Linked DNA regions of Rattus norvegicus. The protein of the gene in region 3 purifies or fractionates together with the protein of the main gene of each other region. This does not show direct contact. Links are inferred from orthologs where the notes say so. Each region holds a gene or a part of one and is shown on either strand. Other genes may lie near its edges. The genes, in order: Flna, Asap1 and Cttn.

Region 1 (3,497 bases), on a different chromosome or scaffold from region 3:
TTGATCTGTGAGGGCAGCAAGCCACAGCCATACCCCCAACCTCCTATCCCCTAGACAAGTTCTCTGCAATCACACCCAGGTAGCAGAAAAGCAAGGTGCCCCCACCCTATAGGTAGCACTTAGCTCTAACAGGCTGTCCCTCTTTAAACCTCAGCCCTGGTGCTCAATGGGCACAGGCTTCTGTTCAAAGCCTTTAGACCTGAGACACGAGAAAAACTCCACGCAGTGGGCAAGGCACTTCCTGCCAACCTCAAGCATGGGCTGTACCCGGCCAGAGCAGAAGCCTACCATCCAGAATTGTTTCTGGGTAGGCCACTCAGCTCAGGGCCAAGGCCTGCTTGCCATGGTGACTCTGGTCTGGCCGGGCCCAGGAGCCCCAGATGGGCAGTTTCTCTCAGTGCCTCACCTGAAGACTAGAAACAGTAAGGCGGCGGGCGTCACCAGACGGAGAAGCCACAGGCACCACGAAGGGGCTATCAGGTATGTGTTCCTCGTTGAACTTGACTGAGACCTCATAGTCACCTGGACAGAAAGAAAACATAAGGCTATACTAGAGGTGCCATATATCCCCAAAGGCTAGCCTAGGAAAAACCTCTTGCCTCCCACAGTCAGCTTGGGTGTCCCTGAAATCTCAAAATGGAGAATAAGACCCAAGTGGAGACCATGTAACACCTGGGTTCAACAGAGCCACACTCAGGTCCTACCTCTCCCCACCCATGCCATTTCTGTCCCGAATACCTGGCTCCTGAACTACGTAGGCCACACCACAAGAGCCATCCTTTCGGTCCTCAAAAGAGATCTCAGCCTTGCTAGGGCCTTCAACAGCAATGGCCAGGCCTCCAGCGCCAGCTTCCCTAGTCCAAATGCCGAACTCCGCTGTAGAAAAGCAGTGTGAGCTCATGAAGCAGAGGACTGGTTCCCAGCCTCAGCCAAATCTAAGCAAAGCCAAGATCAACATGCCTGCTGGCAACTTCCCACAAACACCCATCTTGGCCCACCCAGAATAGCAATAATTAGACAAGTACACCTACCTGGTACTCCAGCTTCAGCCCTCTCTAGGCCAGGGCCTCCAGCACGGACCTTGTGAGCACCCCCTTCCCCCAGAGGTCCCACAGTGAACTGGAAGGGGCTCCCAGGTACATGCTGGCCCTTGTACTTGACACTGACTGTATGCATCCCCATCTCAGCAGGCACAAATCGGATACAGTAAGTATGGTTCTCTCCTTCTACAATCTCTGCCTCATGGGTCTTGCCTGATGGGCTGGTCACCTGGGCTGTCATATCTTGGATGCTAATTTCTACAAATAGAAGATAGCTTGGTGAGCAGGACCCTGTTTCTCTACTTATGTAGGGTTGCCCCAGGAACCCTCCTGATATTTTTCTTACCAGGAATCTTCAAGCTGAGGTCACAATGACTGCCAACATTGGCCACAGAAGGGGCACGTCGCCTGCGTGTGATACTCTCTTTTACCCGGCCCTCACCTGTCACCTTCACAGAAAAAGGACTGCCTGTAGGAAAAAAAAGTAGAGTCCATACTTTGCACAAGTTACAGGTGGGCACTGGGGTGTGTCCAGGAATGCTGCCAAACCATGGTGGGGAGGGGTATAGCTGCCACACTAACCAGGCACATGTTGGTCAGCAAATTTGATGTTTATAATGTAGTTTCCAGGCTCTGTGGGACAGTAGGTGACCCTGCATGTGCCGTCCTCCAGGTCCTCTGTGTTGATGTCTACTTTGCTAGGGCCCTCAATGGACAGACTGAGCCCACCATAGCCTGGGAGATATATAGCAGCTATAAGCCAGAATGACAAGAAAAGCTGTATTGCCCCAAGTGGCAAGCCACCACTGCTTACCTGCATCTCTGGTGTCAATAATAAACTCTGCAGGCTCAAAGGTATGGCCTTCATGGAGGCCTTGACCAGAGACCCTTACACGGCTGGCATCACCTATCTCCGACTGGCTGATCACTACTGGGATGGGACTGCTTGCCACATGCTGGCCATTCTTCTTCACGTGTACCAGGTGCTCCCCTGTCTCCTTGGGCACGAAGGAAATCCCTAGGCATAGGATAGGGCTATCAACAAGGTGTAGTCCCATAATCTCCTTCATTTCTCTCTTTGTTTGAAGACAGGGTATCACAGGCTAAAATGTCTTTAACTCATTATGTAGCCAATGATTGGTTCCCCTTATTCTCCTACCTCCACCTCCCAAGTATTGGGACTATAGGTAATCACCACACTCCTTCCTTCCCAGAAACTCTTGCTGCCTCTTAACCTCTTACCCACGTGGCCATTACGCAACCGTTTCAGCAGACAGGGTTCCTCTCGACCTGAAGGTGGCACCACAGTGGCTGTGAGTAGGCTGAGGTCTGTTTCTGAGATGTTGATGGGGATATCAGCAGCAGAACCCACCTTTAGGTGGGACATACGCATGGAATCATCACCTGGTAAGGGTGCAAGCCATCAGCCACTATAGATCCAGCCCAAAGAGACTATACCCCAGTGCTGCCTGTTCCTGTCATTCCTCCTGATGCTCCCTACCTGTTACTCTGGCAGTGAAGGGGCTGCCTGGGATGTGCTGGTCATTGTACTTGACTAGGATGCTGTAGTCACCAGGCAGCACAGGCAGGTAAGAGACACTGCATGTCCCATCCTGGTTGTCAGTGCAGCTGATTTCTGCTTTAGATGGACCCTCAATGGCCAGAGACAAGCCCCCTGGAAAGTATCACAGATAAGAGTAAGAAATGTGCCGAGGCACACATTGTTGAACCTTTGTGAGTGAGTTGACTTGATGGCTCAGCAGCGCTGTGAAGGTAAGGTAGAAAACTCCATTCAGGATCATCTCCCCCCACAGCTCTCAGCCAACAGAAGACAACTTGGACAGAGCAAACCTAGAGCTTCTCCTTACCTTCTCCTGCATCCTTGGTGTTGACAGTGAAGGTGGCAGGTTTGTTGACCACTCCATGGGTAAGGCCAGGACCATAGGCAGTGATGTGACCACAGTTGACATAATCAACATAGAACTGCAGAGGGCTTCCTGTGGCCAGAATAGAAGCCACATGGAATACTAGCCTCATTCATGTGCTAGTCATTTTGTTTTTGTTTTTGAAATAGGATCTTATGTTTCTTTGGCTGGCTTTGAACTCACTGTGAAGCTAAGGATGACCTTGAACCTCTGATCCTCCTGCCTTGAGGGCTATGATTATAGGCATGTGCCATGATACCTAGTTTATTCAGAGCCTGATGTATGCTAGGCCAACAGTCTACTAACTAACTTATTTTTTTTTTTGGTTCTTTTTTTCGGAGCTGGGGACCGAACCCAGGGCCTTGCGCTTCCTAGGCAAGCGCTCTACCACTGAGCTAAATCCCCAGCCCCTACTAACTGACTTATAACCCCACCCCAGCCTGTCCTTCCTAAGATGATAGCAACATGGACCTAAGATGGAGTGGACAAGAGGCAATACACCTACCTGGGATATGCATATTGTCATAGCGAA
Region 2 (4,281 bases), on a different chromosome or scaffold from region 3:
GGGAACTGTGAGGGCCCAACTTCTGCTCTGTGATTTATCTGTCAACTTCAGACCGGTAGAGGTTCTTTCCCAAATGTAGATAGGATGGTAGGTGAAGGACAGGAATCCCTGGTTGGGTTCCTGGAGCCCAGCTTGGAGTTTTTCCTGTGACCTGTAACCAGTGAAAGTGTTGGAGAAAAGACATGCATTTGGCTGCCAAGCACAGGTCTGTTCGTCCTTGGGAGACAAGCTGGTACCCAAGTTTCAGTTCCCAGCATGTTCACTTCAGTTCTCGCTTGTACGCACGTGGTCCTTCCTCTAAATCTCGGAGTCAGAGGAATCTGAAACACTCAAGCAAAACCACCAAACTGCAGCCTACAGGTAAAATGTGGCATTTCCTGGGGAAACCACAATGAATCACTCCCAATGGCTGCCCAGACTCCCCTGCTGGTTCTCTTAAACCTCCAGGGGCATCTCAAGGCTTATTAACATGCCCTCCCCGAAGTCTCCCACCCTCAGGTTAAAAACAAAATCTCAAATCTTGTGAGTCCTGGTGAATTTCTAATTTCACCAGAAAAGGGTCTATGCAGTGGCTGACCTTTTCTTCTACAGACAAGACTCAAAGAAAAACAATCACCTGTAATTAAGGAGAAACTGACACCCTTAGGCCAGACCTGCCCCTGAGCTGTGTAGGTCCACACAGACATGCAGAATACACACCCTACAAGTTAGAAGCCTCCTTTCTCTGAAGTCTCTAGATTGCAGCAATACCCAAGCATGGGTATCACCGATGTTGCCAACATCCCTGTCTAAGCATCTTGTTTTCAAATGAAGACTATGACACTCCTTTCTTATTTGAGAAACTGAGGCTTAAGGAAGAATCATTTGCAGGAAAGAGGAAAAGGCCATTCTCCAACCAGGCTTCAGAGACCGGAATGTGCGATATGCCAGATCATCAGTGTGGTGTGCTGACCCAAACGGTTTTCCCTCCAGGCACTGGGTAAAAAGATAGAAATCGACGGGAAGGAACAGGCGAAAGTAGCCTAGGAGAAGTCATGGCGGGATGGGAGAGGCCACAGTCTTCTGGTGTCCTAGCTTTAGCAAGCCCCACTTCAAGGCCAAGGTTCTCTGTTGATAAGCCCCACCTCTGCTCTCTGTGGCCAAGGAGGCCCACCCCATGCATCTCCTCCTGCACGGTCCTACTCCTGAGCCCTGAAGTGTGCCGGCTGGCCAAGGGTTAAGCGCGGCGGGAGCCCCCGGCGCGGGGCAGCGGCGGGCCGGGAGTGCTTAGTCAGGATTCCGATTTCCTGCTGAAGTGTTTGGATTTCCTGCAGCCCGCGCCCGCCGTCGCCGCCGAGCGGGCTCGAGAGAGCGGCTCCGCGTCGCCGGCCTCCTCCTCCTCCCCCTCGGCACATGGTCACCCGCCCCTTCCTGCGCCGCGCTCGGCTCCCGCGCCTCGCCCGGCCTCGCCGCGCCCGTGATGGAATAATGCCCAGCGGCCCGCCCGGTCCCGGTGAGTGGCGAGGCGGCGGGGCGGCGGGAACAGGCGCGGCGGGGCGTTGCACGGCCACCCGGACACCCCTGTGGGCTCCGGGTGTCCCCGTCTGCCCGCAGAGCACCAGCCGGGGGCGTGCGGGGCGCGCGGCCGGCTCTGCAGGGGTTGGCGGGGCGGACCGGGAACTCCGCTGCCGCAGCGCCGGAGCGCGCGTTCTCCTGTTCCGCGGAGGCGACTCCGGTTGGGGGCGTGCGCCCAGGGCGCAAGGCTCCCAGCTCAGGGAGGAGGCCCGGGCAGCCGCTGGGGCGCTCTCGGAGTCCGCTGGGGCGCTTTCTCTGTCCTCCCGGGCACTCTCCCCTCCCATCGGGGCTCTCCCTTCCCTCGGGCGCTCTCCCGGCCCTCTGGGGCGCTTTCCTTCTCCTCCCCGGCACTTTTCCCGGTTATCCCGGGGCGCTCTCTGAGCCGCGCGGCGGGGAGGCGCGGGCTTTGGCCGCCGCATTGTCTCTGGCGCAGCGGAGGAAAGTTCCCCTCGGCGTGGGTCCCGGCCTGGACATGGCGCTGCCAGGCAGGCCCCAGACCACTAAAAGCAAAAGAAGCCGGGAATGGGGGTGGTAATCCCCCGTGGGAACCGAGAAGTGCCTTGTGTCTTCCGCTTGTACAATTTTGGAACCTGATGCTTTTTATGAGAGCAACAGTAAGTTTAAACGAAACGGGGGGAAAAAGAGAAACTCGCTGGTATCTGGTTTTCTACTGTTTAATTCATCCAGATACATCATCTCGCGCCCTCGTAGGGCGGGTTCATTTTATCAAGGAGAGGCTTAGCTAAGTCTAGACCAAGTTAACTTGACCTTACCCTTAGCATACTGATGCAAAAGACCATTTTCCTCCTTGTATCGACTCCATCAGGTTGTTTTAGCAGAATTGATTCTAGGATAGCAGTGATACAGGATTGCTGAGTAATGTTTTGAGACTGTAAAACACAGAATTTAGTTTTTAGGCCAGTTTCATGTCTGTTCTAGCCTGAGTGGCCAGGTCTTCTTGCTCGGCCACTAGAAGGCCTTTGGGAATGGGGCTGAGGGGGCCATAGAAGAAAAGAATCTCGGAAAACAACTGTTTTCTCTTTTAATGTGGAAGAGTTTCAGAAAGAGACCTGTTTTGTCTAAGGACACAACTACTTGGTGGCCTGGCTGGGAATAGCTAACTTCCAAGTCTATAAACTCTGGGGCCTGGCCTCTGTGACTATGCCAGATTGTGATCTGCCAGCCACAAGTGTTACTGTGTCTCTCAACGGTCTCCACTTTAGCACCTTCTCCTGTTCTCTTATCTGTTATTGCCGCCGTTTTAGAGACATGCAGTTATCTCAAAGAACATATTTTGAGATTAGGAGTTTAAAAATTACTGTTTAGAATGCATAATGATTTTAAGTACTCGAAGGATGATTTTAAGAGTTAGCAAAAGAGGAAAAGAAAGAAAAAGAAAAGACATTGTCCAATTTCTGTTCACTGATGCAAGTGGATTTGGGATTCAGCTACCAAATGGATTTGAAATGTATAGTGGTAGTTGTTATATGGGGAATTGCTTTTCTCTAGTCTTCCATTTTTTTTTGTTTCAAACAGACAAACTCCAAACCGGCACTGTCTTGACATAGAATGTGCTGTTGAGATTTTCAGAAGTCTCGATTCTGAGTCCTCCTCTCTCTCTGAGCCAGGCAGCCCACCTAGTTTCCTCTTCTTGAAAGCTGAGTGGCTGGCTTTTCATTTTTAGTATGTGATAATGTTGGAGAGAAAGGACTTTTTCACAAGCTTGCCATTTGGTGAAGGAAATTGAAATTCCTTACACCTCTCCAGTCCTCCCCAACCACAGCCAGATAGATTTTCAATACCAATGCAGGCCTTGCAGGCTAGAGATGAATGTGTGCATTCAAGCCTAGCCTTCCTAGTCTGGGCCCTCCTCCCAGCTGGCTGCTCCATGTTGTTCCCAGGTGGCTGCGGTCTAGGGGAAACGAGAGCCCCTTGTACCTGTGCTTTTCGTGGGTTTTCCCTACCAAGGTCTCATTGTGTCTGATGGGATCTTCCTGGTCCCTTTACATTTTCTCCTCCCCTCTTCTTTTTCTCTCACTGGTGTATCTGATATGGGCTCCAAGGGCTTTTCTAGAAATCTGCACAAATGATCCTTACATAAGCGATGATGACAGTGACACTAAGCACTTGTTGCGTGCTCTCGACTTGTTGCCTCCTAAGAAGGACCAAGAGAGTGTTAGGGAGATGGCTCAGTGGGGAAGAGTGTTTGCTGTACAAGCATAAAGACCTGAGTTCAAATCTCTAGCATGCATGTAAAAAGCTAGATGCCCTGGTAAATCCACACCCACTGAGTGAGTGGGTGAAGACAGCATGGTTGCCTTGGCCTAGCTTTAGGTACAGTGAGAGACCCCATTTGATCCTGTGTTCACTCCTTGGTATGTGTACTCAGGCAGATGTGCACATGTTCTCTCTCTCTCTCTCTTTCTCTCTCTCTCTCTCTCTCTCTCACACACACACACACACACACACACACACACACACACACACACACACACGGGTCCCCCAAAGAGGGAACTCCTTGGAAGTCTTTCTCAGAAAGGACAGCCTTTCTCAAATTCATGTGGATTGAGTCATTCTTGTATGCAGTAAACATTTGCTAAGTGGCTCCTCTGTGGGAGGTACTAGTCATACAAAGATGAATAGCACCCTGTTCTCAAGGCCTCTTCTTTTCAGCCTCATCTTTCATTGTCAGGATTATGCTCTTTCATTTAATTAATCAATTCCACA
Region 3 (4,080 bases):
ATGGAGACAGGGTGGAGAAAGGCAGGGCTGGAGCTCATGGGTGGAATACAGCTTTGTGTGTTCAAGGCCCTGCACTTGATCCCCAGCAAATGGGATGTGGGGGTGGTGTGGGAGGAGAGCTGAGAGGAGAACTAATCAGGGGAAAGTCAAGGCTAAGATATCCAGTTTCTTTCTTTTCTAAAGGACAGAGCAGAGCAGCCCAGCCTGGTAGTGTGTGCCCACAGCCTATAATCCCAACACTCAGGCTGAGGCAGGAGGATGACTAGGGCCAGCTGGTATACACAGTGAGTTTCAGGTTAAACAAAGATACAGAGATCCATCTCAAATGCATCCCAGCCATCACCAAAAAGGGAGTGGGAGGGAGGAGCAGAAAGAGAGACAGACACACACAGACAGACTCCAGGCTTGCTGCCTAGGCTAGTCAGTACTCCTCGGTCTCAAGGTCCTCTGCCTTAGCACTCCCAGCCACTGGGACCCCAGGCATGCGTGTTCTATGTAGATCTCTGAGAAGGCCAGAACGGTCTGTGGTGATGGGCGGACAACTCTGAATACACAGATAACCACTGAACGAACCCTTTAATCGGGGAATCGAGTGTGGGGTGAACTATATCAATAAAGCTAAACAAAAGCTCAGAAAACAAATGGAAAGCCTTTCAGCCCCACACAGCCAGCAGGAAGCTCGGCCACAGAGGACCCAGTCACAAGATGGAAGAATCCGCCATCCTGAGGCCCTGAACCTGATACCTAGAGCACAGCAGAGCAAAGGTGGCTGGGTCGGGAGTTGTTGTAGAGAGGGCAACCCCTATCCCATGCCTACTGAGGCCAGCAAGAAACTGTGTACAGAGCGAGTAGGCTAGCCTGCCCAGGACACCACTAAGAGTCCTGGTAGGCGGGACTACCAGGTGGTAGGCAGTTACTACCATGCCCAGGACAAAAAACAGGGGCACAAAGAGGTAAGGACACTCAGGATGATGCTGAATTACACTAAGTGGCTTCCCAAGTAACAGACTAAAGGTCTGAAGGGCCAATTACATTCTCTGGCATTTATAAGGTATTGAAGGCACGACTGTCACAAGGCCTCAATTAAAGGTCAGCTCTAGGGCCATGGCTAAAGCTGGGTAGAGAAACTGTCTTGCAAGGCCCGGGGTTCAATGCCATCAGAAGAAGAAGCCTCTGGAGACCTAGTACCAGAATCAGTTCTTCAACCCCACCTCTGCAATCTTCTACATCTGAAGTTCCCACTTAAAGCTGCTTCTCCTTCAAATTTCTGGTGAAAACCTTCTCAGTCAAGTAGAGAAGCAGTGTTGACTCAGGGCCTGAACTGGTGACTCACTCTGGGTGAGCCAGCAGAGGCCGGCTCTCAGATCCCTATCAGCCTGGCCCCTGGTGGACAGGGGACCTGTAAGTTCTGACTGTGGGGGTCTACTGGGTGTAAGGACTTACAGGATCTCCAGCTACTGACAAGGCCCAGTCAGTGCAGCCAGGTAAAACCACTAGGAAGGACTAAAGCCTCTGCTTCACTGAGCACAAAATGGAATTTCTTCTCCCTGCCCACAAGTCCCCATCCCTCATGCAGACCAAGAGGAAGGAGGGGGAAAGACCAGGCCCAAACACCTCTGCAGTGACTGGGGACAAACCCAGGAGGAGGGGCGGCTGGATTCCAGGCTCCCTAGCTCCAGGATGCAAGCTAGAAGCTTGTATTTCCACTGACCCCATTGCAAATTTCCCTCAGGTGCCCAGGCCCCTCCTCAGATGCTGGCCTCTCAGCCCAGCCCAGAGGGCTAGTGACCAATCCTAGGAGGCTCTGGAACATGGCTGTCCAGCCTAACAACTTCCTACAGGCCCTCAGACCCTCATAATTCCACTGAGTTCTGGAACCCCAGGCTCCCCAACTTCCCGCAGGTCCTCATCATTCCACCAGACTGTAGGACCGAAGTCTCCTCATCCCCACCAGCATTTCCAAGGCCTCAGGTCTTCATTCCTTTCCTGGGGTCTGGTGCTCGGACTAACACAGACCCATAACTATGCACTCTGACCTAGAACACCCCAAACCTACTTCACACTTCATCCTGGGATCCTGCTCTGGAGCCCAACCCCTTCCTTTATGCCCAGGATTCCTAGAGCCTGTGTCCTAGGGCCCGCCCCCTCAGAGCCTGACCGGCTGGGAACCCCTAGATACTCCACATATGACCGGATGAACGGCTCAGCACTGGAGTCCGAAACCTCCGATCCTGGGGTTCCGATGCTCTCATCCAGACCCTGCGACCAGGGACTTCGAGTCTCCAATCCTGGCCCTGCACTCCGAACCCCGAATCCCAGTCCCGCACCCCAACCATAACCATGCACCCCAACTCCCCGATTCTGGCCTCACACCGCGAACCCTTGGCCTTGGCTCTGCACCCTAGTCACCCGATCCTAACCCTGTACTCCAACCCCCGATCCTAGCCCTGCACTCCGGGTCCCGACACCCGATCCCGGCCCCGCACCCCAAGTCACAATCCCGGCCCCACACCGAGAACACCTGGTCCTGGCCTGGAATCCTGACTCCGGGGTCCAAGCCTTACACCCCGAGGCACGATACACGGATCCTGGCCCTGCACCCCTGGGCCCCGCATCCGGATCCCCTGGGTCCCGGTCCCAACCCTGTACCCCAACCTCCCGTCCAGGCCCTGTACCCTGACAACTCATCATCCCACACCCTTCCTGTCCCCCAGCAGCTCCCTAGGACGCCCATCCCCCGCTCACCGCACCAGCAGGGTCCGCCAGGCTCCCGCCGCGCCCCGCCGCTCCCTGTGCCCGCTCACTTCCGGTTCCGCGGAGGCGGGGCCGCATCCGGGGCCACGCAAGATCCCGCCCTATTCCAGGCCGTCCCCGCCCCATATTCCTAACTGTTAGCTGATCCGGGAAGCAGGATGCACAGTTCCAGGACTTGACGGCGGCTTGGACACCAACTTGCTGCGGAGATCCGACTTAGAAATACCTGCCAACCCCTATCCAACACACATTCACCTTCAACACAGCTTCCAACCATGCATCCACCACCCTGCAACTCTCTACCCACGCATGGATCTCTACACAGCATTATCTATTCCCCTATCAATCGGCTACCCACCCACCTACCAATCTGTCCTTCTGCTCATCTACTAATCCACCCACTCATCTATCCATCCATCTGTTCATCCATTCTTCCATCTATCTGGTTCCTAATTATGATTTTTAAAAAAACTGGTCAAATGCAACTCGGGGAGAAAAACTGATAAATTACAGTTCATCACTGAGGGAGGGAAGTTAGGACAAGAACTCAGACAGGGCAGGAACTGAAACAGAGACTTATGAAGGAGTGCTGCTTACTGGTTTGCTCAACCTGCTTTCTTACACATCCCAGGACTACCTGTGTACCGGTGGCACCCACAATGGTGGGTTGGGCCCTTCTATATCACTCATTAACCAAGAAAATGCCCCCACAGACTTGTCTATAGGCCAGTCTGGTGGTGGCAATTCATCAACTGAGGTTTCCTCTTCCCAAATTACTCTAGTTTGTGTCAAGTTGACAAAAACTAACCAATATACCACCTATCCACCCACCTGCCACCATCCATCTACCTATCCATCCATTCACTCATCCATCTGTCCTAGTTGGTACTATCAACTGACACAGCCTAGAATCACCTTTTTTTAAAAAAAAAAGTCTCAAATGTGTACTTGTCTTATTCAGGTTATTCTGTGGACATGATTGTCTTGATACAGGAGAGCCAGCCCACTGTGGGTGACATCATCCCTAGGCAGGTGCTCTTGGACTATATACAAAGCTAGCTAATAAGACAGAGGCGGGTAGGGGTTGGGGATTTAGCTCAGTGGTAGAGCGCTTGCCTAGCAAGCACAAGGCCCTGGGTTCAGTCCCCAGCTCCGGAAAAAAAAAAAAAAAAAAAAGACAGAGGCGGGTGGATCACTTAGAGGCCAGTATCGTCCAGATCAGCCCAGCAATGGACTCTCTGTCTCTGACCTTGTCTCTCTCTCTCTGTCTCTGTCTCTCGCTCCAGAAAAAGGAGGAAGAAGAGGAGGAAGAGAAGAGGGGAGATG

Evidence for each region.
Region 1: the proteins of Cttn (region 3) and Flna purify together in Homo sapiens (affinity purification with mass spectrometry; 3 studies listed by BioGRID and IntAct, with this or other methods). This does not show direct contact. The link is inferred for Rattus norvegicus from reciprocal best matches to the Homo sapiens genes CTTN and FLNA.
Region 2: the proteins of Cttn (region 3) and Asap1 purify together in Homo sapiens (affinity purification with western blotting; 6 studies listed by BioGRID and IntAct, with this or other methods). This does not show direct contact. The link is inferred for Rattus norvegicus from reciprocal best matches to the Homo sapiens genes CTTN and ASAP1.

The regions. Positions count from the first base shown.
Region 1 is NC_086039.1:157,161,941-157,165,437, forward strand, and holds part of Flna (filamin-A), read right to left. Parts: coding exon 3,471-3,497; intron 3,038-3,470; coding exon 2,909-3,037; intron 2,716-2,908; coding exon 2,542-2,715; intron 2,445-2,541; coding exon 2,283-2,444; intron 2,059-2,282; coding exon 1,855-2,058; intron 1,776-1,854; coding exon 1,623-1,775; intron 1,510-1,622; coding exon 1,387-1,509; intron 1,299-1,386; coding exon 1,032-1,298; intron 877-1,031; coding exon 739-876; intron 523-738; coding exon 407-522; intron 1-406. UniProt on the Homo sapiens protein: Promotes orthogonal branching of actin filaments and links actin filaments to membrane glycoproteins. Anchors various transmembrane proteins to the actin cytoskeleton and serves as a scaffold for a wide range of cytoplasmic signaling proteins.
Region 2 is NC_086025.1:97,979,074-97,983,354, reverse strand, and holds the start of Asap1 (arf-GAP with SH3 domain, ANK repeat and PH domain-containing protein 1), read left to right. Parts: upstream 1-1,404; 5' UTR 1,405-1,492; intron 1,493-1,722; exon of another isoform or gene 1,723-2,168; intron 2,169-4,281. UniProt on the Homo sapiens protein: Possesses phosphatidylinositol 4,5-bisphosphate-dependent GTPase-activating protein activity for ARF1 (ADP ribosylation factor 1) and ARF5 and a lesser activity towards ARF6.
Region 3 is NC_086019.1:209,061,709-209,065,788, forward strand, and holds the start of Cttn (src substrate cortactin), read right to left. Parts: upstream 2,809-4,080; 5' UTR 2,746-2,808; intron 2,664-2,745; exon of another isoform or gene 2,513-2,663; intron 1-2,512.